Elephas maximus indicus: one gene and its partner. The protein of the gene in region 2 purifies or fractionates together with the protein of the main gene of each other region. This does not show direct contact. Links are inferred from orthologs where the notes say so. Each region holds a gene or a part of one and is shown on either strand. Other genes may lie near its edges.

The links. Proteins that work in one complex are often made in the same cells at the same time.
Region 1: the proteins of NEUROG3 (region 2) and C1QBP purify together in Homo sapiens (affinity purification with mass spectrometry; 3 studies listed by BioGRID and IntAct, counting the BioPlex papers as one, with this or other methods). This does not show direct contact. The link is inferred for Elephas maximus indicus from reciprocal best matches to the Homo sapiens genes NEUROG3 and C1QBP.

Annotation. Positions count from the first base shown.
Region 1 is NC_064837.1:15,103,863-15,110,835, forward strand, and holds the start of C1QBP (complement component 1 Q subcomponent-binding protein, mitochondrial), read right to left. Parts: upstream 3,019-6,973; 5' UTR 2,930-3,018; coding exon 2,704-2,929; intron 2,125-2,703; coding exon 1,974-2,124; intron 1-1,973.
Region 2 is NC_064834.1:18,378,845-18,383,869, reverse strand, and holds NEUROG3 (neurogenin-3), read right to left. Parts: upstream 1,162-5,025; coding exon 511-1,161; downstream 1-510. UniProt on the Homo sapiens protein: Acts as a transcriptional regulator. Together with NKX2-2, initiates transcriptional activation of NEUROD1. Involved in neurogenesis. Also required for the specification of a common precursor of the 4 pancreatic endocrine cell types.

The DNA.
Region 1 (6,973 bases), on a different chromosome or scaffold from region 2:
CAAACTCATGAGCCCTAGTCCATCATGGCCAAATACAGTCACATGTCGGCTACTTCCAACAGGCCAGCATCCCAGGGCTCACTGCCCAGCTGACACTGCCTGCCCTAGTCTTTCCCCGGCACTTTCCTGATGGAGGTGGGCAGCTGAGAAGTCGGTGCTCCTTTAAGAGCTTTCTCCATCACAAAACCTGCCCCTGGGAGGAAAAGCGAGTGAGCACTGGAGTTACATCAGCTGAGGACCACTTGCAGCCCTAGCCAGGAAGGGGGACTTCACCGGGAACATGCTGCAGGACAGACTCATTCTCCGCTGTGCTGTGGGAGGCCAGGAAACACTTTAGTGAAGCGACAGAACACACAATTCATCTGTGTACAGCTAATGACAATCTGAAGATGCAAGCAAGCACGCTCAGCTGACAATCACATTCCAAAATCTGAGTCAAAGTTCCAGTGATGCTAAATCTGGAAGTAGCAATCCTGGGCTGCACACTCCAGCAGGTACTGTTCCCATTTGCTTTACAGGAAGGACACCTCTCGGCACACACTAATAGGTGCCCCTGGAGTGGTGCTAACTGGCTGCTTTGCCAGGAAGCCATTTTCCCATAGGAACAATGTGGTTTGAGGTTCAACCACAAAATCTACCTCATCTGCAGTAGTGTTAGGCAATAAGCTGAGCTCCTGGGCACACAAATGCATGACATTCGCTGCAGTTTTATTTATAATAGCCAGAAGCTGGTTACGGCTCACTATCCAACTCCGAAGGAAACAGTTTAGGTGAAGTGACAGAACATACAATTGATCTATGTATGGCAAAAAGCAACTATACCCCCAGGCAAAAAAAGAATCAGTAGTCTGCCTCACAGGTATAAATTAACTCAAGACCAATCACCAACCTAAACATAACGGCCAAAACTACATAAAACTCAGAAGAAAACGTAGATATAAATCTTGGTGACCTTGGGTCAGGCCACTAAAAACAGAAGCAAAAAAAGATAAACTGGACTTCATCAACATTAACCTTTTTTATGCTTCAAAGAACACCATCAAAAAAATGAAAATCTAGGGAATGGGAGAAAATATTTGCAAATCATATATCTGAGAAGGGAACTGTATCCAGAATATATGAACACGCAAATCCATAGAGGCAGAGAGTAGATTAGTGGTTACTAAGGGGAGAGACGTCGGATGGGGAGTGACTGCCAATGGGTTTGGCTTTTTTGGGGGGGGGTGGGGCAGGGTGGTGGTGAAAATGTTCTGGAATTAGGTAGCGGTGATCAAGGCACAACTTTGTGAATGCTAAAAGCCACTGAGCTGTATACTCTGGGGAAGAAACCAGAAGACCCTAAATGTTTAGCCGTAAAGTGGGATTAAGGATGACTACATACTGCAGAAAAAGAATTTAACAGTTAGGAATGGGGAGGAGCTGAACTAGGTCAAAAGCTGCCCACCTGTGAGTGCAGCCCTTACTATATTGTCACCCAATCCTGTTACCTATAAATTACATATCTTACTTTTTCACCTACTGTAAACATTCAGAGAGCAAAGTGCCTGGCTTTACTCAGACACAGAGCCAGCCCGGCAGGTTATTAGTCAGCACCGTAAACCAGAGATCACTGACTGTTTTAACAGGAATATAAGAATTTCTGATTTTGCAGGCCTAAATTTAGACAGGGCATGGTCTCTCCACCAGCAAAGGTTTACTGCAGACTGCCTTTACTGGGCCAATAGACTTCCAGTCACACGCTTTTGTTCCACTTCCTTACTGTCTCCTTTGTAACCAGCCCACAGCAAATTTGTGTCCAGTGAATGACCTGAAACTTAGGAACTTGTCCAGATGCACCCTTCTCTTTCTCTTGAAAGTTATGTATCAAATTACCTGCCTTAAACTCAAGGCTGTTCTGGAGTAGGCCCAGGGCAGCTCTTGCAGGGTCCTGGATTTGGCCCCTGGAGTTCCCAAGCACTGAGCCTGGTACTTACTTTTCCCCAGCAACTTTCCGCACTAATTTAGCTTCTGTCCCATTCACTTCCAGCTCCCAGCCTCCAGACATCTTGGGGAGGGACTTATGTTTCTGGATTTTCTTCTCCTCCTTAATTTCATCATTCAGGAACTCAACAAATGCTTTGTCTCCTAAAATGAGAAACCAGATGACACAGAAAAAAAAAGTCAATCAGTCTAAAAGCATCAAACAATGACCCAGGTTACTGCAGCCAGATATCTGGACTTGGGCTGTCTCTAATGTCTTTGCTATCGACGGTTGCTCTGGGAATTTAGTCCAATTCACTTCCTTAAGCCTCATTTGTAAAAATTCCATAACGGTCTCCGTGGGAAGCTGAATTCGAGTCTGGAGAAGTGATTTCCAACAATCTCATGACCACGTTTCGCCACAAAGCAAAGAACGCCCGACTACCTTCCTGAACTTGTCAACCGACATAACCATGCTGCTTTCAACCACAGCCCTCGGCCTTCCTAAAGCTCAGTTTTCGCGGGACTCAGGATAAAGGCGGCGCCCAGGGCTTAATGCTCGCTCTCCCGGGTGGGGTGCGGGAACGTGCTGCCACGTGAGCTCAGCCACCCGTGCAGCTCATCAGTGGACAGAACGCTCGGCGCTCCGGGAGGCGGCTCCAGCAGCAGGCTCCCGGCCTACACTCGCCCTCCCCCTCCCCGGGCCCCCGGAGCCCCCCATGTCGGCCCCGGATCCGGCCCCACCTTCAGTGTGCAGCCCACCGCAGCCGCAGCCGCAGGGCCCGCGGGGCCGCAGGAGGCCGGGCCGCCGCTCCGAGCCCGCGCGCACGCTGAGCAGCCCGAAGGGCCGGGCGCAGGGCTGGGGCGCCGGCTGCAGCAGCCGCCGGAGCGGCGGGAAGGGCGCGGCGGCGCGGAGGCCGCCCACGGCGGAGCCCAGGGCGCGGGGCGCGCAGCGCAGTAGGGGCAGCATCACCGACGCGGAAGCTGCGGCGCGACACGTGCCGATGCGAAGGACAACTGGGGCCAAGGGGCCCCCGGACCCAGCGCGCCGCCGGAAGTACCGCCTTCGCACGGGAAGCGCTTCCCGCGTCGCCGCTTTAAAGGTCGAAAGGCTCGTGGGCCGTGCAGCGCCCCCTTCTGACGGCCTCCGGTTCTGAGTCGACCTGAGTAACGTCCAAGTCTGTATAAATGGCCAGCATAAGTTGTGGCCCGCGGATGCTAGACTCTCCGAGTTTCCATCTACTGTTTTCAAAGCGCGACAGGACTAATAGGACTTCGTGAACACCCCAACTCCGAAGTCACCTCCTTTAAGAGGCCTTCCTGGTACCTCATCCTCCCTCCCACCAGATGGTTAACTCATGCCCGTGCGCCCACAGCCCGTGGCTTCACTTTTCCTTCCGCAGACACCTCCTGGTACTGCTGATGGACCTGGCCGCCTCCCCTCACTCCCGCGGGCCAGGGTCTGTGCCCTCCCTCCAGCCTCGCACCCAAGCTCTGAACATCATTGTTCTGGAGCAAGAAGCTATGGTTTGTATCAGATTCAGGTTAGGAATCACCCACGGGATGTATAAAGTACCGAGAAAGTATGTCTTCCCAAATTAGTGAGAAAGATTAAGACTAATTACTTGGTATATTCTAAACAACCGTCCGTAAATAGGGAAAGGAGACCCAAGAAAGAAGCCACACACATCATGTACAAGGTTGATTTTTAATGGACTTGATAGTCATGTGCAAATTTAAGCATTACATATGCAAGAGCTGATGTTTCTATAGAGCTGTTTGAGCAAGACCAGACTCAAAATGCAACATAAACCCAAACCATTTTTTTTCTGACTCGTTTTTTTGCAAGTTACAATATTCTGATCAAATAAAATAGAATAAAATTCTTGTTTTGAAGCAAGCAGAGTTGGGGATCTCATACCACCAAGAAAGCACCACGAGAGTGTCGTTTGGACCTGGGGTCACTGCGCCTGAGAAGCTCCTCAACCATGTGAAGATCGAGGACGAGGACCTTCCTCCGGAGCCAACAGAGAGAGAGAAAACCTTCCCCTGGAGCCGACACCCTGAATTTGGACTTTTAGCCTACTATACTGCAAGAAAATTAACTTTCTTTGTTAAAGCCAAAAAAAAAAAAAATTCTTGTTTCCCCACAGGTGCGGTATTTCCTTGTATGTTTAAGGAATGGTATCTGGCCAATTTCAAGCAGTTCCTGGTAGCTGGATTGAACAAATTTACCAGTCACAGTACGTAACGAGTTTTACCCCAGAGCAAATGTTTGCCTCTGTCCGGCTACCTTGCTAAAACCAGCACAGATGCAACGTCAAGGTTCTTTGCTGCCCCCTCAGGACCCACTGTTTGCAGTGCTTTCCCTTGTAGTGAAACCTTTCTCACTTCGGATGTCTCACAGTTTATGACCAAGAAGAAGGCCTGAGGGTGCGAAACGCTGGGAGTGCATTTATTTACATGCCGCTGCTCAGGGGAGCTAGTGACTAGTCCAGATGTGGATTTCACTGGGTGGAAAAGAAGTCTCGCATCATCAGAGATTTTATCAATTGAAAAAAGTCCCTCAGGACGATACTGCAACATCATTGTGAAGCATTTTAACTTTCTTAAGAAAGTCTAAGTTTAAAGCATACTACTCCCTGCAGCTCAATAAAAATAACCATTTCTTTCTTTGTAGTAATACATAGGAGTCAGAATGGGTTTTCCAATCTGATTTAATCCCTGAGCAACCAGGTTAAAAGTTTTAACATCTTAAAAAGCACGATAAAAACCTAAATATTAAAACTCTACCAGAATGTTAGTGATAAAAGTATTTCTATACAGAAACGTTAAAGCTACTCAGAGGCGATTTATACTCCCTTACCCCTTACTCCCACTCGGAAAACGGTATTTCTGGAAAACTTTCAGGTACTTAAGCTGGACATTATCTACATAAAGTTTTGCGTGAATCAGAGAACACCTCTAGTTAGATAATATGCTGAGAAATATAATAAATCACCCTACCCCTAATTTTTTACCATCATGATGAATGTTTTATTAGAAATATAATGTTTTCTTTTACCAAGTCAGGCTAAACACCCTCCTGCCTGCTGGCACTCTATAAAATACATGGGAAAAAAAAATTTTTTTTTTTCAGAAAGTTAGCAATGGTAAAAGCAAGTAGTTCTGAGGAAGAGCTAGCTAAAAATTGTGTCTCTTAGCTGCGGTCAAGTCGGCCCCCAACTCACGGGGACCCCCTGCCCAACAGGACTGGCCTGTTGTGACCCGTAGTGTTTCACTGGCTGATTTTCGGCAGTGGATCACCAGGCCTTTCCTCCTAGTCTGCCTTAGTCTGGAAGCTCTGCTGAAACCTGTTTAGCATCACAGCAACATGTAAGCCTCAACTGACAGGTGAGTGGTAGCTGCACTTGAGGTGCATTGGCCAGGAATCGAACCTGGGTCTCTCACATGGAAGGTGAGAATTCTACCACTGAACCACCACTGCCCTCAGCTACAAGTCTAAGAACGCAGTGAGACAGGGTGTACAGGATCTGTCAAATTCTGTTTGGTGTAAATGTAGCTATTTCTAATAGAAATAAGTCGCAGGTGCCCCGACAGCCCCTGAACACAGGTTAAATGCTTGAATGCTCAAGGGTGGAGCCGGTGTCATAGAAACTGATCTGGCCTTCACGTGCACAACTGGGGACAATGTGGGACTGAGGCACTCCGTTGGGCGTGGTCTCACGGAAGAGTTCCTTGACCCAGACTGAAGAGACTGTCCGCTGTCTTTGAAGAAGATTCTAGGCACAGTTTGGCCCCATGCCTGTAAACTGCATGATTCACTTTGCGATTTTAAGAAATGACCAAATTCTGCACAGATGTGTTTAGACCAATGAAGCACAATTAAAGAGCTTCTTCCAGGACCGAACATTCTCTGGGGAAAGATTATTTGCTTTTGATAACTGCATACCTAAGAAGAACCTTTGGTGTCTTCTCCCTTCTCAAAACATGGGAACAGGAAGACTGTGCAGGTCTTCCAATTCCCTCTGATAAATGTGGAAAGTGAGGGCAGGAGTGGGTAACAGGCACAGTTAAGAAGTGGCAAAGCCAGATTGTCCCCAAGTGCCTAAGAAGAAGGAAAAAGATGACAGAAAATAAATAAGCAGCAAGGAATATAAAGCCAAGATGTGGACGGGATGAGCCAATGCCCTCTGGGTTCTCATTGGCCTGCAGCTACACCACCGCCACCCAGGTTCTCGGAGTAAGGGGTCCTGCCAGAAGAGAAATGGCTGAGGTATAGCCCAGAGCCATTCCTTATGGTGACATGCTTATATGAGCCCAGTCAGAGAGAAAAAAGACAACTGGGTATGCTGGGAGCCATTATACTAAAAAGTCAGTTTCTGACGTCTATACTTACAGGATTCAAAAGATACAAATCAACCTTAGCTCAGGAAGCTGAAATGTCTCCTAAGAGCACTGACAGGAGACATGTACTACAGAGGCACCAAAGATGGAGACTTCCTGGAGCAGACGCAGCCTGGCGACCTGGGGGCACTCCCTTACCGGTCTCTGTGGAGACAGCAAGAGGGAGGCCATACCCTGGGCAGTGGGGGGCCACTGGGGGCAGCCATCCCATGAGGTCAGAGACAAAAGCACCTCCCTCTGGAGACTTCTACAGAAGTCAGTTTCTTATGTTTTCTATTTTAAAACTTCAGATAGAAATTAAAGTAGATCTAAGGACAACATCCAAGCTCTGTGACCTCCTACGGCCCCTCTCGGAGTGTCCCCCTCACGGTCATAAGAACTCATGGAATTTTGTTGTACTCAATTCCCATCATGTAAAAAGCAATAATGGCTCACAATTTATTGTATGTCTATTGTGTCTGTCGTGTGTGAGACACAGCTCTAGGTACTTTCCACTCATTTTCCCCTAACTTCATGACCTGGACCCTGAGAGGAAGTATTATCATCATCATCCCCACTTGGCAGATGAGGAAACTGAGGCTCAGAAATTAACTAAGTCGCCCAAAGT
Region 2 (5,025 bases):
CCGAAACCCGGGACTCAATGGGGGGAGGAGGGAAGGGCAGCGGCGTCTTTGGAGAAGAGACGCTGAGCTAGGGGAGCCAGCGCTGAGACCATTGGATTAAATTCTGTTGGGGGAGGTGTGGGAAAAGACAGACGGACAGGCAGACAGACAGACAGACACCGACTGGAGTGCCGGTAGGGCTTTTGAAGACGGTAGACGTCTCCCGCTGTGTAGTGCTACCATCCCTCTTTGCACGAGATTCTGGGGTGGCCCCAGAAAGGGGCCTAGAACGCGTGGAGCCTGCAGTGCCCTCTTCGCGCAGGGAGAGGTATAGGGTTGCTGGAGTTGGCGTGGCGGGGAGGGCTGGGGGTTGAACCCGGTCTGCCACCCCCGCGGGCGTGGGGGCTGCTAGGGGTCGGCAGGCGAGAGACGGGAGGAACACTTGTGCTCGAGAGCCACAGCCTCCGCCCACCCCTGACAGTCCCCTCCCTCTCTCCTAGCACCCCACCTCCGGGCCGCCGACGGGCCTCTTCACAGAAAGTCTGAAAAGGCCAGGGCGCCTGGGCGCAGGCAGGCTGGGGAGACTGGCGCCAGTAGCCCCGGCAGCTCCTCCAGCGAGGCAGCGGGACTCAGGCTGCCCGCCTGAGAGACTGGGGAGTAGAGGGAGCCCCAATCCCCGGGGGAGCCGCGGTCTGGGCTGCCTAGCTCTGCGCAAGGCGGCGCCGGCGGCTCCAGCCCGTCGAAGAGACTGTGGTCTGCTAGGCGCAGCGTTTGCGTCAGCGCCCAGATGTAGTTGTGGGCGAAGCGCAGCGTCTCGATCTTAGTGAGCTTCGCGTCGTCCGGGAAGGTGGGCAGGACGCCGCGAAGAGCGTCCAGCGCCGAGTTGAGGTTGTGCATCCGATTGCGCTCGCGGTCGTTGGCTTTCTTGCGCCGGCTCCGTCGCTGCCTGCTCAGCGCCAACTCGCTCTTGGGCCGGCTGCGTCCCCCGTGCCGCGCCCGGAGCTTCCTCGCTGACCCCCGACAGCCGCTGGCTTGGGCCTCGGTGCAGCCCGGGGGTAAATGAGTGGGGCTGGGCGGGGCGGACGCGGAGCAGGTCACTTCGTCGTCCGAGGCGCTCGGGAAGGGCTGCTCAGTCTGGCGGGTCACTTGGATAGCAGGCGCACCCGAGGGATGAGGCGCCATCCTGCGGTGGTGTAAGAGCGACCGACCGGTAAGCGTCTATCGATCACATCCGCTCAGCTCTCGACCCCCGGACCAGATGGTGAAACAAACAACCAAAACCGAGGAAGAGCCACCCCGCCGGGTCAGAGGACCCCCTGCCACCCGTCCCTTCGCACCCTCCAAGTGCCAAAAGAGGGTTACCTAGTTTGCTGGGCGCAAAACGGCACAGAAGGGTGAGCAACCAGGGCTGAGCTGGCCTTCCCGCCCGCGGGCTGAGCTGAGCTGCAGGCGCCGCCGCCTGGGAGTTTCCCCAGCCCCGGGAGCGGAGAAGCGTGAAGCCTGCGTGGTCCTGGTCCCTGTCTGTGGCTCTGTCTCGGCACGGCTGTGAGACCGCAGGGATTTCCTGAGCTGCAAGTCGTGTGCCCCTTGGCACGCTTTATCTGCTCGGCCCGGGCCAGGAGCGTGCCTGTCCGGCTGCTGCCTCAGCCGCGGACCAATCAGCGCCTGGGCCCCGGGGCCGCGCCACGCGAGCCCCCTCCTCCCCCGCGGGGCACAGCTGGATTCCGGACAAAGGCCCAGGTCGGGGGAGGGGAGCGCGCTCTGTTTGCTCTCTCCCCACGGGCTCTGTCCCAGCAACTCTCAGTTCCTCAAAGAACCTCGCCCATGCGCAAAACCGCGTCTGGCTCGCATCTGGCCGCCTAGAGAGCTTAGCTCGTGTTCTGTCTTTTGCTTCTGCTCAGATTATCTCTTGGTACCTTTGGGACGCCTGTAGGAGAGGCCAATCCCCACGTGTCATGCACGTGAAAATTTAGACTCTGAGGGAGAAGGCTTGCCTCAAATCGCACTGTGAGGTCGTGGGAGAAATGGAACAAGGAGCCAGAGGTCCTGACTACCAGCTTGCCGGCTGCCACCCTGCACTCCAGCGCAATGGGTCAGGTTAAGAAACACACGTGGAGTGGTGTTTCACTAGCCAGCTGCTCCTGGGAAACAGGCCGACGGCTTGGAGAGGAATCCTGCCTATGTCCGTGGGGCTCAGAAACCTTCGCCTGGGGGGTGTCTGAGTCCCAGCCGCGTCCTGAGATGCCGCCCCAAACTCTCCCAGATAGGGGCACTTGGAACCCCGCCCCGCCCACCCCACCCGAGACGTTCTGATCCTTCCCCAGAGGTGGAAACTGGCTGTGGTGGGACCTTCAAGGGGCCATTACACCGCCACTAGGCGTGGACAGTACCCTAGCGTGCTGGCCAGGGCCTGCAGGGGGAGTGGTCGGGGAGGTGCGAGGGGGCCAGGATAGGGCCAGGAGTGCACCGCGAACCAGAGGAGTGTTGGAGACCGCCGCCTGGGCTGTGCTTTTTGAACCCCCACGATGCGGTGGTACTGAGGGAGTCAGATCCACCCTTTCTCCCCTTAGCCCTCCTGTCCAACCACAGGCGGGCAGGGGCCGCGGCGGTCACCTGGCCTGGTCCCTGCCTCGTCATGAGCGCCCACGGAGCACTGGGCCCTCGGTTTGCCCCATTAGCTTTAACCAAAGTGATTCTGAACCTATCATCCCTCCTTTCTTCCCCGCCCCTCCCTCTTGTTCCCGCCTCGAACACCCAGTGGTCTTCTGCTTCCGGTCACTCAGGGTGAGGGGTCGCTGCTTCCGCTCGTCCTTATTCACCGCGAAGTACGGGGGCGGGGGGAGGGAGGAAGCAGAGGCCGAAACGACTGGCGCCTGGGCTAAGCCTCCCGTGGCAGGGAAGGCTTCGTTTTCTAACGAGCCCAGAAACCCTAAGCTTCCCAGAACCCGGTGGAGGTGTCAGGCCCAAATGGGAGGTTGAGGGGATGGAATGAGCAGACGAGGTAGGTCAGCATGTCCGCGCTGGTGACGGCTCATTGCCCAGGCTGCTGAAGGGGTGGGGGGAGGGACGAAATTAACTCCAAGGCAGAGAGTGGATGTGCTTGGGAGCCAGAGAGATCTAGAACTGGGGTGGGGGCGCAGAGAGTGGAGGGAGCCGAAGCCCTACGTCAGGGTCAAGACTAAAAAAGAGACTGCACCAGGATTCTTGGGACCTCATCTTTGCTGTGTCTTCTCCCTTGGGTCATTATTAGCTCCAGATCTATCTTCTAGTCATAAAAATGGGAACCTGAGGCCCATTTTACAGATGGAACAGTCAAGGCCCAGAGAGGAAAAATGACAAACCAAAGTTACATAGCAAGTTCTATCAGACCACATAGGACTCAGGTCTCAAGACTTTTAGTGTAGATTCTCTCCTGTACCTTCTCCTTGATTACACGGAAAATATTTTCTCAAGGCAAGACCAAAGACCCCTAAATACAGAAAACAGGAGAAGCCTGGGGTCTGTGAAGGATATCTGGACCATGTAAGAAAAGGCATAGTGACTCCATACCGCAGCGCCAAGGGGAGCCATTCCAGCCCCATCTCTCGACTTTCCTGCCCCATGCTCCAGTATTGCTTAACTTACACCCCTGTGAATTGGGAACTGGGAGAGGAATTCCAAAGCGTGCTTCCCTAGGGCTGATGGACCCGGGTAGGCTCCATGTGGGGAGCCTTGGTTATGAGGGATGCCATCGCCTCCCTGTGGTTCCCTGGTAGCCTGAAGAGCAGCCCGAACCCGGGACACTCGACCTGCGGTGAACCTAGATGGAGAGGAAGGGCAAAGCTCTCTCTGGCTGGAGCCTGCCCTGAGCTGCTAATGGGTGGTGGCGGGAGCTGCAGCCAGAGCTTCCTGTGACAGAGAACATTCTGGGGGATTCTTGGAAACTTCTTGGAGGGGAGAGAACCCTGGGATCTGCTTGGAATTATTCTCTAGCCTCCCTAGAGCACCTCCATCTCAGGACCCTCCGGGGCTTGCAGGCTACCACCACTCCTGCTGTGCGCAAAAAGCAACTAGGGCGCGGAGCGCACAGCGGCAGGGAGCAGCCGCCTGGTCACTGAACGCCAGAACTCCCGGTGCTTCTGGCCAGGAGGGCGGGGTTGGAGGTCGAAGATCCCAGGGAGGTTAGAGATCGAGGATCTGTGCCCTCCCTCTCCGCTGCATGGGACGCCCAGACCCCTCTCCAAATTTTATCCCTGTGCTTTTGGCGGCGGAGGCGCAGGTGTTGACAACACGGTGCGCTCTAATTGGTGTTTGTGAAACGGATCTTCCTTCCGGGAGCAGACCCTGTTCTTGCTGCCCCGGGCCAGCCATCGCCTCCGGGGCCTCTGGAACCCCCTCATCCTGCGACTCTCTGGGATCTAAGCTTGTCTAGAGGCTGCGGGGGCCCAGGGGAGAGGCGACAGTCAGACGCCTGGAGACCGCGGACAGAATGGAAAAGAAGGAAGGCAGCGGCCGGCATTACCGCCTTCCTGTCGGCGGGGGGAATCATAGCCGTGCTTGGGGGCTCTTTGAGAGTTGAGCTGGGAGGAAGGGGGCTATGGGAAGCTGAATAGCTAATGGTTTGCCAGAGGAGGGGGCTTCTTTCTCTCGCCTTCGCCTCGGTACTGAAAGAGGGGAAGACAAAAATCTGGCGAGCGAGCTGCCCAGGCCGAGACTGGCCACTTCAAACAGCCCTTCAGACAAAAGGAGACGACGAAAAGAAAGCCCCACCTGTCTCCAGTGTTTGCTAAAATAATAATAAATAGATTTCGTTTAATAAATAATTACAAGAGATTGTAAAGTGGAGTGCTTTGGAAAACATCTACCGCGGGAGTCAGCGCAGCCAGCCATCACCTGCTCCTAAGGCGGGCAACTTTATTGTTAAGCCACCCCCCAACTAGTTCGCCTCTGATAAACTCTCCCTCATTTTCACAATGACTGTTTACTCATAGTTAGCACAATATTACCTTTGCCGTGATAAACCCGGAGGGGGGAGACCTGGCCCCTGGCCCCTGGGCACACCTGTCC